3 linked regions of the Sus scrofa genome follow. The protein of the gene in region 3 purifies or fractionates together with the protein of the main gene of each other region. This does not show direct contact. Links are inferred from orthologs where the notes say so. Each region holds a gene or a part of one and is shown on either strand. Other genes may lie near its edges. The genes, in order: FKBP5, KLHL9 and NUDCD3.

Region 1 (4,134 bases), on a different chromosome or scaffold from region 3:
ATGACAAATTATGAGATATAAATTACTTCGAGTACTTGAATTTTAGTGTCTCAAATACTACTGAAATATCCTTACTAACTTGTTAGCTACATATACACAAGGCCCTACTATAAATTATTTTAACCTGTCTCATTTGGCAGACCTGTCTTTTACACAATAAACAAACATCTTAGTCGCAAAAAAAAAAAAAAAAAAAAAAAAAATCGCACTTCAGTGGCTATTGCTTTTAAGTCAATAATCATGTGATGTACCTACCAATGGCCGCCTAATCTCTGATGAATGTACATTTAATGTCCCTTACACTTTTGGGGACATAATTTCAGTAGTTAAAAAACACTGTAAAAAAAAAATTCAGAATGTAAAATGAAAAAAATCTAATTTCTAATCAGCTAGGTTAAAAGTTCAAATAGTTTCAGAATTATAAAATGTATAGAACATGTAACTGTTCAGCATAAAATAATTACAAATTTAGTGTGCCAAATTATGTAACTATAGGCTTTTATTAGGAATTGTGAAAAATTACATTAAAGGCCTACAGAGACTATTAATGAGAGATACAGCAAGCATATTACTGTTAAATAAAACAGTATTAATATCTGAATTGTGAGATTTATCCTCAAGTTTAGTTGGTTTAATGTGTTCCGGTTTTTTTGTGGCTTTACTCGTTAAAAAATATTTTCCCAGCCTCAAACTCAAAGGGAGCCACACCTGAGGGTTAATGACAAAAACATTCCCAATGTAAACTGTGTAGATGCGATAATTCAACTTATGCTTAAATTTGAAACTGTAATGTGGCTGATAATTTTATGATATGGTCTACCACAAGTTAAAGTAAACAAAGTTAAAGGGGACAAAAATCAGCAATTAAAGTGTGTAAAAACTGAATCTGAAAGCAATCTTTTAATTAAAAGTCACTTTTATAGTTAAAGTTCCCAAAATATGCTTTTGTGTAAATGAAACTATGAAATGTAGCTTTATGATATGTGGTATATTTAAGCATCATCACAGGACAAAGATTTTATAACTAATTACACACAGTAGTTAAACTAATATTCCCATACACTTTAAAGAACAATTAATTACATAAATCGCTCAGAACCATGAGAGCCCGGGTCTCATAAAAGTCTTCAAGTCTATTTATATAGAATCAAATCCACTCTGGACAAGTCACTGTTCAACCATTCAACCTTCACTAAGCATCAAAAAGGCAACTCAGCTTTCAATAGAAATTACTTCTACACCTATATATACAAGGATGGTCTTCCTTTCCTAGACCGATTCGTTCTAAGCTAAGAAGCCTTGAGGAAACTAAACAACCTATTCAATCCAAGAAAAAACAGAAAATTGAAGATTTCATTAGTTGTCTAATCTAATATTTTAAAATAGTCACGTTGAACTGATTAAAATTGTTTTAAAAAAGAAATTCACCCCAAATTCCCATCCCTAAAAAATTAAAGATTCAGAAACATACTTGTTTTGTTAAATGTTTGAAAGACAAGGACCTCTCAGCATATAAGCCTGTTGTTCTAAAGAAATAAAACATTTTATAAAGACCACTTTGTTTTGCTTTTTTTTTTAATCCCCAATAGTCACAATTAGCTTATTGGTTAGAGTTCACCTTTAAAAGGTGTCACTAATTATCTAAATAACTAAAATTACTATTCAACGAAACACTAATAAAGTAGCATACTAAATCAGAAGTATAACTTTATCACTAAGTTAAACTTACATCTAAGTATAAACCATACCTAGCACAGACATCAAAAAGACATATTAGCAAAGAAAATCTAAATCAACTGTTTATCCAATACGTCATTAGTAACCTTCATAACATATTTTTAAGTAATTACTACATATTATTTTAAAACTTTTTTTTCCCTATAGGTGCCCTAAATTGGTCAGGGCCATAACTGCAGAGTGTTAAGCAGAGGTCAGATGGGAGAGGCAGAAACAGAAAATGTTAAGTATGACAAACAAAAACGTCCCACAAGAATAAGTTTTCACATCCATCTTTGAATTTGGACTCAAACGCCCAAGAGGAAAAGTTACTCTAATTCTCTGGAGACCTCTTCTGAGGGGCAGGGGTGGAACGGTGGGGGAAGGAGAATTCCCAGAGACAATTAAAAACACTCAACCAAAATATGCCTTAACTTTGCCCTGGTCCGCAATCTAACAAAATGGGAAGACAATGAACATAAACACTCCTGTGTGCCCTCAGAAAAGCAAAGAAAGCTCCCATTCAATGCTCAGCCTTATTCCACTCCTGTAAAGTAAATCCAAAACCACGAGCTCAAACTGCTTCATGCAGAATTTACTGAATGGCGGCCAAAGGCTGTACACGCTGTCCTGAACCACACAGAGGGATATCTAGAGTTCTGCATTCTCCATTTACAACTTGTACCTTACCATGCTTTCGCCACCGCTGCAGAAGCCCATTTTCAAACTGAGACTACGACGTTCCTCCCCGCCCGTCCGTGTGAAGCAGGTTCTCTCCCGGCGGGAGAGAAACTTCGCCTTCGCTCTCCCGGCCCCCGCCCAGTTTTTAAAAAATTGAACTAGTTTGACTCCTCTACTGCAACCAGCACCCCTTTTTAGAAGTCATTAAGGGTAGATGCGTTCTAACGCCCCGGAGTGAATTGAATACGGAGCCCTAAAACTCCTCAATGGCCTTCACCTGGCACTAAAATAATCACCTGTTCAAACTGAGCGGCCCTGGCACCCTCTAAGCGCGGCCGAGAGCGGGAATGCTGTTCCAGTCACCAGTCCCGGGTCTGCAGGTGAAGGCGGCGAACACACATCCACACCCACCGCCCGGGGAGCGCAAACCGAAAGCCAGGACCGCGGCGGCCGGACGCTCCGTTATCCTCGCCCTGCGCGGGCCCCGCCAGGTGAGCGAGGCTCCATCGTGCCCGCGGCGTCCCGACGCTCGGCTCACCCCAGCTCCACTTCTCCCGCCGCCCGGGCCCGGAAGGCGAAGTTTCTCTCCCGCCCGCGGCGGCTACTGCTCACGCGCCGCCCGGCCCTCCCGCCAGTCCCGCCGCCTGCTCCGGCCGGCCGCAGTCACCGGCGCCGGGCCTCGGACGAGCCGGAGCCCGGGACCTGTCACCCCGGGCGGGAAACAAAAGCCGGGTGAGGACCAGCGGGCGCCACCGGCCTCGCCTCCGCGAGGGGGAGCGCGGCGGGGGCGGGGAGCGGCTCTCGCGGCCGCCCGGCTCCGCGCCTCCAGGAGGGAACCCCGGCCCCGCGGCCTGGCGGGACGCAAAGGAGCCCCGCGGCGGGCTGGGGACCTCCGGCGCGTCCGCCTCGAGGCTTCCCCGGCCCCTCTCTCCCCGACGCGCCGTTCCCGGACTGGGGAGCCGCATGAGGAGGCGGGGAGGCGGAGCGGGAAGGCGGCGGGACCGCAAAGGAGGAATTCGGCTCCCGGAGCTCCACGACCACCCGCCCCATCCTTGCGGCCATGGCGCCGGTACCTGTCGCCGGGGTTGCTCTACTGCTCTGTCTCTCCCCGCCTCACCCGCACGCAGCTGTCCCCTCAGCCCGCCCAGCAGGCCGCCCGCGCGCCGGACGCCGCCGCCTCCAGAGACTGGCAGCGCCTGCGAACCGGCCCGAATCCCCCGGGCAGCGCCCGGCGCCGTCCCGCCCCCGCCGGCCGTAGGACCCGCCTTCCATAGGGCCCCGGGGCCGTCAGTCCGCCCCCAAAAGGCGCGCGGGCTGTCGCTCTGCCTGTTCGGATTGGCGGCCTCGCGCTGTCCATGCAAATAAGGCCCCGCCCCCGTCCATTTGCACCTCCGCCTTGGTGTAACCTCCGCCTCTCCACGCCAGCCCACGTGTCTGGCCCTTGCCCTTTGTGGGGGCTGGAGGCAAGGGATGAAGGAAACTGACCCACACCCCCTCACACCGTTCCTTGCCTCCAGGGAAATTAATGCCTAAATAAGCTTGTTGACTTAACAACGGGGTCTCTCCCTGAAAACTCTGTCCCCCTTCCTGCCCACCCAACCTGCCCCGTGGATGGAGAGGGGCAGGCCAGGCTGTTTGTGTCAGGTAAGCAAGCCAGGTTAGCCCCAGGAAACACCACCAGGAACTCAAAGTTGTCTCTCAGAAGTGGGAAAATCCCACCCGGAGAACCGTCGCACA
Region 2 (4,190 bases), on a different chromosome or scaffold from region 3:
ATGCTAGTCAGGTTTGTTAACCACTGAGCTATGAGAGGGACTCTTCTCCACGTATTCTGAATGTACCTACACAATCTGGGGAGTTGGCAGCTGTCAAAAACTCCATGAAAAAAGGGAGGTAGCTATTAAGACTTGGAGACGTTTTCTGCTTATTATTTTAGATTAGGGCAAGCAGCCTCCCTTTGATGTTTTGACATAAAAGATGAAAACTTAGCATCTTTGAAGCATAATAAACATAATTATATACACTTACTACCATCACCTAAACTTTGACTTACACAACACCACAAAAAGACATCTAACAAACACTGTTCTACTTATCTTTTTACATTTGCTAAAACAGCTATGTTGAATACATTTTTAAAATGCATTGTTAACCATTTGATAAACATACTAAGCCAAACAATACAAATTACATCAATTACCTCTTTAATCTAATAACTGTACCAATCACTGTAAGAAGATACAACTGAAGTGGAAGTATGGGATCATCCATGATGCACTGCAAAAGTATTACAGCTTGGTCCTAAGAATGATCTGAAGGTGCTGATAGAGGTGATTCTCTAGAAGGTGATCCAGGGTTTTCTTCAGGTGGAAAAACTGTGAGAGTACAAGCTCGAATGCCACCAAGTGATTCTGGAAGATCAAAAACTTTATGCCACTCATCCTTTTCTGGGTCGTATTTTTGGACAATTTCCACCATACAACGATTATTCCAAGAATATCCACCTACAACATAGATTTTATTTTCAAAGACGGCAACTCCAACATCACTCTGGCCTCTTAACATGGCAGCAATTGGTGTCCACTGGTCAAGGGTTGGTGAATAGTATTCACAGCTTAGAACATCATCATAATCACTTGTTCCTCTGAAGTGATTGCCACCAATGACATAGAGCTTATCTCCAACTGTACACATGCAGTGCAGACCTCTGACTGTAGTCATTGGAGCCTTCTGTGTCCATTTGTCCGTATCAGGGTCAAAACACATGAGCTCGTTTTGGAAAGTGTCATGAGTAATTCCTCCTGAAATATACATTAAGCCTCCATATACTGTTCCAGCATGGCCATAGTGGGGTTCATTCATTTTTGCAACATAGCTCCACTCATTCATTCTTGGATTGTAACATTCTACTGTGGCCAGTTCACCAGCTGCACTTCGCCCACCAACAGCATACAAATGCCCTTTCAGAGCACTTAAGTGGAAAAATGTGCGCTTTTCATTTAATGATGCAACCTGCATCCATTTATTATACCGGGGATCAAATCTGAAAACTGTATCAACAGCAGTTTTTCCTTTTGTATCATAATTACTTTGACCACCAACAACATAAAGAAAGTTTCCAATGACAGCAATGCCATGCTGGTAACGAGGAGCATCCATGGGGGCTAAAGACCTCCACTCTTGAGCTCTTTCATCATACATCCGTAATTCTTTACTGACAACCAGCTGCTGCCTCAAAACTCCTCCTAATGTAACCAAGTGGGTAGAGTCAGATCTAATGGCAGTTCTATCTGACTGCATCACTGGCTGCATATATGGCATCATTTGGTAATTGCTAGCTTCCAAAAGCAAATTCACACAAGTATTGTCTGTTCTCATGAAATCTACTGTCTGCACATAATTGATGAGATCCTGTGGTGTCATCAGTGGAAATCGAATGTTCTTCATTAATTTTGCAGCATAATCCATCCGAGGGTCTTCCAACCTTAGCCAGCGACACGCAGCCTTGAAAAGCTCAAGTTCAGTACAGTGCTTAAGACTGTTGCTGGAAAGCACAAAGGCAAGCCGTTCAAAAGGGAGTTTTAGAAACTCCCCAGTACTCAATAATGCAGGAAAATTCTTCAGGATGAAATTATTGACATATTTATCTACTTCTATAAGATTGTAGGTGTTAGCAATTCGTCCAACCTCAACACAGTTATCTAAAGAGACTCCTGAAATAAGAAACACTTTACAGAAGTCCAAAACAGGTAGAATTTGCAAAAAGCTGGCAGCTTCAAGTGTGTCCTGAAGATTGTCCATATTAAGAGAAAGTTTTGCAGTATAAATAAAATCAATTATTTTCTTCAGACCAACTTTGTTCACACCGTGAAGCTTAATGCACATTAAATCTTGTTCTTTCATTCCACCTGTGAACATAGCCTTGAAATAATCACTAGCAGACGCCATCATAGCTCGATGAACAGGGAAGATTTCATCTCCATCACCTGGTACCAGAGTCACATCACAAAGCAATCCTTCTATTCTAAGCTGATCAAAGCCTTGCAATACCACCGAACTGTGAGTATTGCTGGTAAAAAACCGTGTGGTTCCTGCCTTGCAAGGCTGTAAATGGGCAGAGACGCCCATTTCACCGTTACCAAGAGACACTTTCATGTGAAAGCCTTCCTGTTGCACAAAGATGTATGCCGGACAAGGAGGTTACGACCTGCAAGCTTTAAAGGAACCGAGGATGTCCCAAGAGCAAGAGAGCTCGCGTTCCTTATCAACAAGGGCAAACAATCGCCGTGGCGCCTCTCAGAACACACCAGTCATACACTGAATATTGTTCTGCAGCAGGACCACAAAGGGCTGTGGACCTCAAATCTGATTATTATGTAGATGATTCAACACCTGAAAGCAGTTAAGTGACCCGGTTCACCTCGTCCGGCCTGTGCTGCCGCTCCTCCTGCAGTTCCGCTGCCGGCAAAGGGGGGGGAGGTGCCGCCACGTCCTGCGGTTCCACGGCTCGCTCGGCGGCGAGGCCGGGCACCTCAGCGAGCAGCCCGCTTCGCCCTCCACTAACCCTGGTGCGTCGCCACGGCTACGGACCCGTCTTTGAGCAGGGGCCTGGAACAGCGGCCTGGGCCTGGGAAACGGGCCGAGCCCCGGGACGCGGAGCCGCTCCTTCCGGAAAGGCCTTGTCCCAGGATGCCCCGGGCTAGGAGCGGCCGTCGCAAATACTGCGGCTGCGCGGCTGCCTGACATTGTCAGTGGGCGGGAGTGTGGGGGATGAGAGGAAGGGCAAGGGGGACTGGAAGGGCGGGTTTTGTGCAAGTGGGGGGCTGTGCTGTGTGGGCAGGGGCGGGGCTTCTTCGGTTTACTTAGAGCGGCTAAAGAAGCCGGAGTGGGTACACGTTCATCGTGTTTGGTATAAATCTTTCAAAGCAGCTGAACGCTCCCCCTAAATGAACACTTTGGGATTTACACTTCCTGGCTTCTGCCTGTTGCATAACAATGAAATGCGGCTCTAGTAGAAACTGAAAGAAAACCTGATAAATGGTGGCAAACGGGGAAGATCTTAAAGTTCTTCCTCTATAAAAAAAATCTTTATGATTCTTACCCCACACAATTAATGAACACTTTAATTATAGCCTTGGTTCATATTTTCAGATTTAAATCATTTAAAACGTCACGTGCCTCTTTTTAAATAGCAAATTGTGACCACGCTATGTAAATAACAGTCTGAATTTTTGCCTCCCAATGGAATTCTATTATCAGTAAATTTTTCCTGCTCTTGTTTTCCAATCAGAAAATTTTAAATAGGAGTTCCCGTCGTGGCGCAGTGGTTAACGAATCCGACTAGGAACCATGAGGTTGCGGGTTCTGTCCCTGCCCTTGCTCAGTGGGTTAATGATCCGGCATTGCCGTGAGCTGTGGTGTAGGTTACAGACGCAGCTCGGATCCAGCGTTGCTGTGGCTCTGGTGTAGGCCATTGGCTACAGCTCCGATTCGACCCCTAGCCTGGGAACCTCCATATGCCGTGGGAGCGGCCCAAAGAAATAGCAAAAAGACAAAAAAAAGAAAATTTTAAATAGATAATCCAGTTGTGAGATAACTACACATACTATGGTTTACTTTACCCATCACCTGTTCCTAAATATATACCTTCTTGTCCTCCACTGTTTTATAGAATCTGGGCACAAAACTATGTTTGTTTTTGGATAAATCCAAAAAGCAGAATAATGATTGAAGACATATAAAATTTTTTTTTCCAAAATATCATCAGCAGTGTTTGAGTACACATTTCCCCTCTACTGATCTTTCCCTTTATGGATATTTTACTAACTTAACATTTTAAAAAATTGAAGGATAGTTGATGAATTTACATTTTTAAAATTACTAGAAATTGAGATTTGAGCATATTAATAAATGTATACTTTGACACACTGCTTCCAAAATTTTCCAGTTTGAAGTTATTACTGTC
Region 3 (3,000 bases):
TTCCTTCTGACAGGGAGAAACGAAAACACGCACTGCCTGGGGGCCAGAAGGGCCTGCCCACCCCCGGCCTCTAGGCCGACAGAGCTGAGGGGACATCCTTGGTACTGGACGAGGCTGCGGGACTCCTGACAGGCGCCTCCTTTTCCCTGTTACTGAGCCTAAGTAAGTGCACGGCAGCAAACGTGTCAGAGACCCGCAGCGCGGAGCAGGGATTAACGGATGTCACTCCCGACCCAGCAGACAGCACATGACAGGACCTTGGACAGAGCACTCGGAGGGCTGGGCACTGCAGCCTCCACGGAGGAGGTGACCAGAGAGCCCAGGGCCCCACCGCCGTCCCGCCTCCCGTCCCCAGCAGAGTCACAAGGTGACACCTTGTCGCCCGGCAACAAGCTTCCTGGCCGCCCGCCGAGCCAGGCCTCCTCCTGCATCCCCTCCTCGAGCTCCCGCCCTCCGCCCCCTCTGAAGGCCCCCTTCTCGGTCTCTCACTCAGCCTGCGCTGAGCCCCGACCCATGACGACGTCCCCATGCACCAGCCTTGTCACAGGCGGCCGACAGGCCCGCACTCCAGCTTCACGGGGAGCCCTGGGCCCCTCACCGCCACCACCTCCTTTCTCAAGCGGCTCCTCCCTCCTCACAGCCCTCATCTGAAGCCACCAGCTGGTCCTGCTGACTCTCCAGCCCCAAGTCCCTTCCTCTCCTGGGGGTGCTTTCCTCCGGGGCCCACGGAGACCACCGACTCAACTGTGCATGGCTGCAAGGCCTTTAGCACTGGAAAGTCCAGCTGCCGCACCACCAGGCCACGCCAGCTCCACCAGGTCCTCAAGCCTCCACGCTTCTCTCAGCACCTGCTCCCCAGGCTGGGCTTCCCTCAAGGCCCAGGTGCTGAGGAAGGTGCACGTGGGACCCTGGGAGGCCAGGCCCCATCTGCAGATACTCCTCCCCGAATCCCTGCTAAGCCCGGTGAGTCCCAGGCAGCAGGGCTGGCACAGGGCCGTGCCCTCAGACCCCCGCCCACCTCCCTCACCAGGGCCCTGGACATCAGCCCTTGACTGTCTCCAGTGAGGGGCGGGGAGCTGGGGGCCCTGGCTGTCCAGGAGCAGGCCAGCTGGACGAAGGGTCATCCCTGGGTCCTGCCACCAGCCATGGGCTCTATGTGTCCGCCGAAGGTCTTCGCAGGGCACTGCACTCTGCCAGGCACTCTCACTGGCTCACGGTCGGCACACTGCCTGGGATGGGAAACGGCAAGTCCTTCCAGAATCTCTCTGGACTCAAACCGCAGAGGTCTTTCCACTAGACTGCAGCGTCCTCATGGCTCTTCTTCAGCTCCTTCTTGATCGGTCAGCCCCATTCCCGAGCTGCTTCCTACTTGGGCCTCACGGCCGGTGCTGCCCACGTTGGGGCAGAGACACCCCCCCTCCAGTGGCTGCACGAGCCCAGCTCCTGTCGGGCCAGTGTTCAGATGCTCCTTCATCCGGTGGCCAGAGGCAAACACAGTGAGACTGGACCAAAGCTGCCACTTCAATGTGCACACAGGGGAGCTGCACTTCAAGTCCTGGACCCTGCGAGCTCAGCAATTACACCAGACATCACTTTCCAAAGACGAGACCACTAACGTGCCTGTGACCCAAAGGTCACCCGGAGCCCCAGCCTCCGGCCCCATACGCCCCGGTGGGTCAGGGAGCCACACCGAGAAAAGATGCAGAGACTCAGGGAGAGAAGACAGACAGGCCTGAACCAGCGCAGGGGTCAAACGCCAGCCCTGCTGTCAGATCAGCTCTGGGACCTTGAACGTGCGCTGTGACCCTTAACCCTCGACCCTCCACTCGGGCTGCCATGGAGACTGTGTCCCAGGCAACCCCACCAAACCTGCGAGCAGTGAGCGCCCAGCGCACCCTCCACGGCCCCGCGGCCCCCGCAGGAGCAAGGTGGGCCGTGTGTGTCCAGGTCTGAATGAAAGGAGGACGGAGACAGACCCACAGGCACGTGGGCAGGAGCCTTGGCAGCCACAGGCCTGAAACACTCACCGTGCAGCCCCCAGGGGACAAACAGGACACCCAAGAACCCGAACGGCATTCAGCGGTCCTGGGGGGAGCGCTGTGTTTGACACATGAGCAGCCAAACCCTGGAGAGGGGCCGTGGCGCCCAGCAAGCCCCACGCCCGCCCTCCCCGGACGGGACACGTGCTTCACCTTGGCCTGTTCCCACCGCGCCGGACTTTCGACTCCCGGTGCTGTTCACGTGGGACACTGGGAGCTAAAAATAACCTGAGACACACAACCCTCTCTCCTCCAAACAGCCACTCGTGGGATTACTGAGACAGAAGGCAGCCTGCCACCTGATCCTGTTCTCTGCACTCACCTCCTCGGCCCCCGCGCCCGCCAGCCACACGCACGCTCAGGCCTCTGACGTCCAAGCGACTCGGAGGGACCTCCTCCCCATGGCCCCTTTGTGCTCGACCGCACACTGGCCCTGAGCACGCCGGGCCTGGCCGTCCTCCCTCTGCTGAGGGTCTTGGAGGGGCTCGGGGGATCTGCCTGGACGGCCCCAGCACTGAGCTAGGAACGACAGGGCCCCGATCCCGCGGCCAGGCCCCTTGCAGCTCTGCCACCCGGGCTCCCTGTCCAGCGGTGGAACCAGAGCCCCGGCCTAGGGGGAGACCAGGCCAGAGCTGCCCACGTGAGGGCCCAGGACGACCTGCGAAGGGTGGGCGCCCGTACCAGCTCGTGGCTCTGCGGCTTGCCCTGCAGCTTCTGGTGGTAGTCGAAGGTGAGCCTGTCCAGGACGGCGTGCTCCTCCTCGTCCACCGTGGCCATGGAGCGCTCCTTGTTGATCTTGTCGATGTCGATGCGCTCCTCGCCCTCCAGGATGGCGCTCCACCAGTACTCGCCCACCTTGTTCAGGCTCACCTGGCACACGGGGGCAGACACAGTCAGGGCCGGGGAGGCGGCGCTGGGGACCCAGAGGGGAAGTCGGGGCACTGGCAGGGGACTGGCGCTC

The links.
Region 1: the proteins of NUDCD3 (region 3) and FKBP5 purify together in Homo sapiens (affinity purification with mass spectrometry; 3 studies listed by BioGRID and IntAct, with this or other methods). This does not show direct contact. The link is inferred for Sus scrofa from reciprocal best matches to the Homo sapiens genes NUDCD3 and FKBP5.
Region 2: the proteins of NUDCD3 (region 3) and KLHL9 purify together in Homo sapiens (co-immunoprecipitation; 3 studies listed by BioGRID and IntAct, with this or other methods). This does not show direct contact. The link is inferred for Sus scrofa from reciprocal best matches to the Homo sapiens genes NUDCD3 and KLHL9.

What each region holds. Positions count from the first base shown.
Region 1 is NC_010449.5:31,547,031-31,551,164, forward strand, and holds the start of FKBP5 (FK506 binding protein 5), read right to left. Parts: upstream 2,801-4,134; 5' UTR 2,694-2,800; intron 1-2,693. UniProt on the Homo sapiens protein: Immunophilin protein with PPIase and co-chaperone activities. Component of unligated steroid receptors heterocomplexes through interaction with heat-shock protein 90 (HSP90).
Region 2 is NC_010443.5:201,588,890-201,593,079, forward strand, and holds the start of KLHL9 (kelch-like protein 9), read right to left. Parts: upstream 2,942-4,190; 5' UTR 2,381-2,941; coding exon 527-2,380; 3' UTR 1-526.
Region 3 is NC_010460.4:50,825,032-50,828,031, reverse strand, and holds part of NUDCD3 (nudC domain-containing protein 3), read right to left. Parts: intron 2,910-3,000; coding exon 2,721-2,909; intron 1-2,720.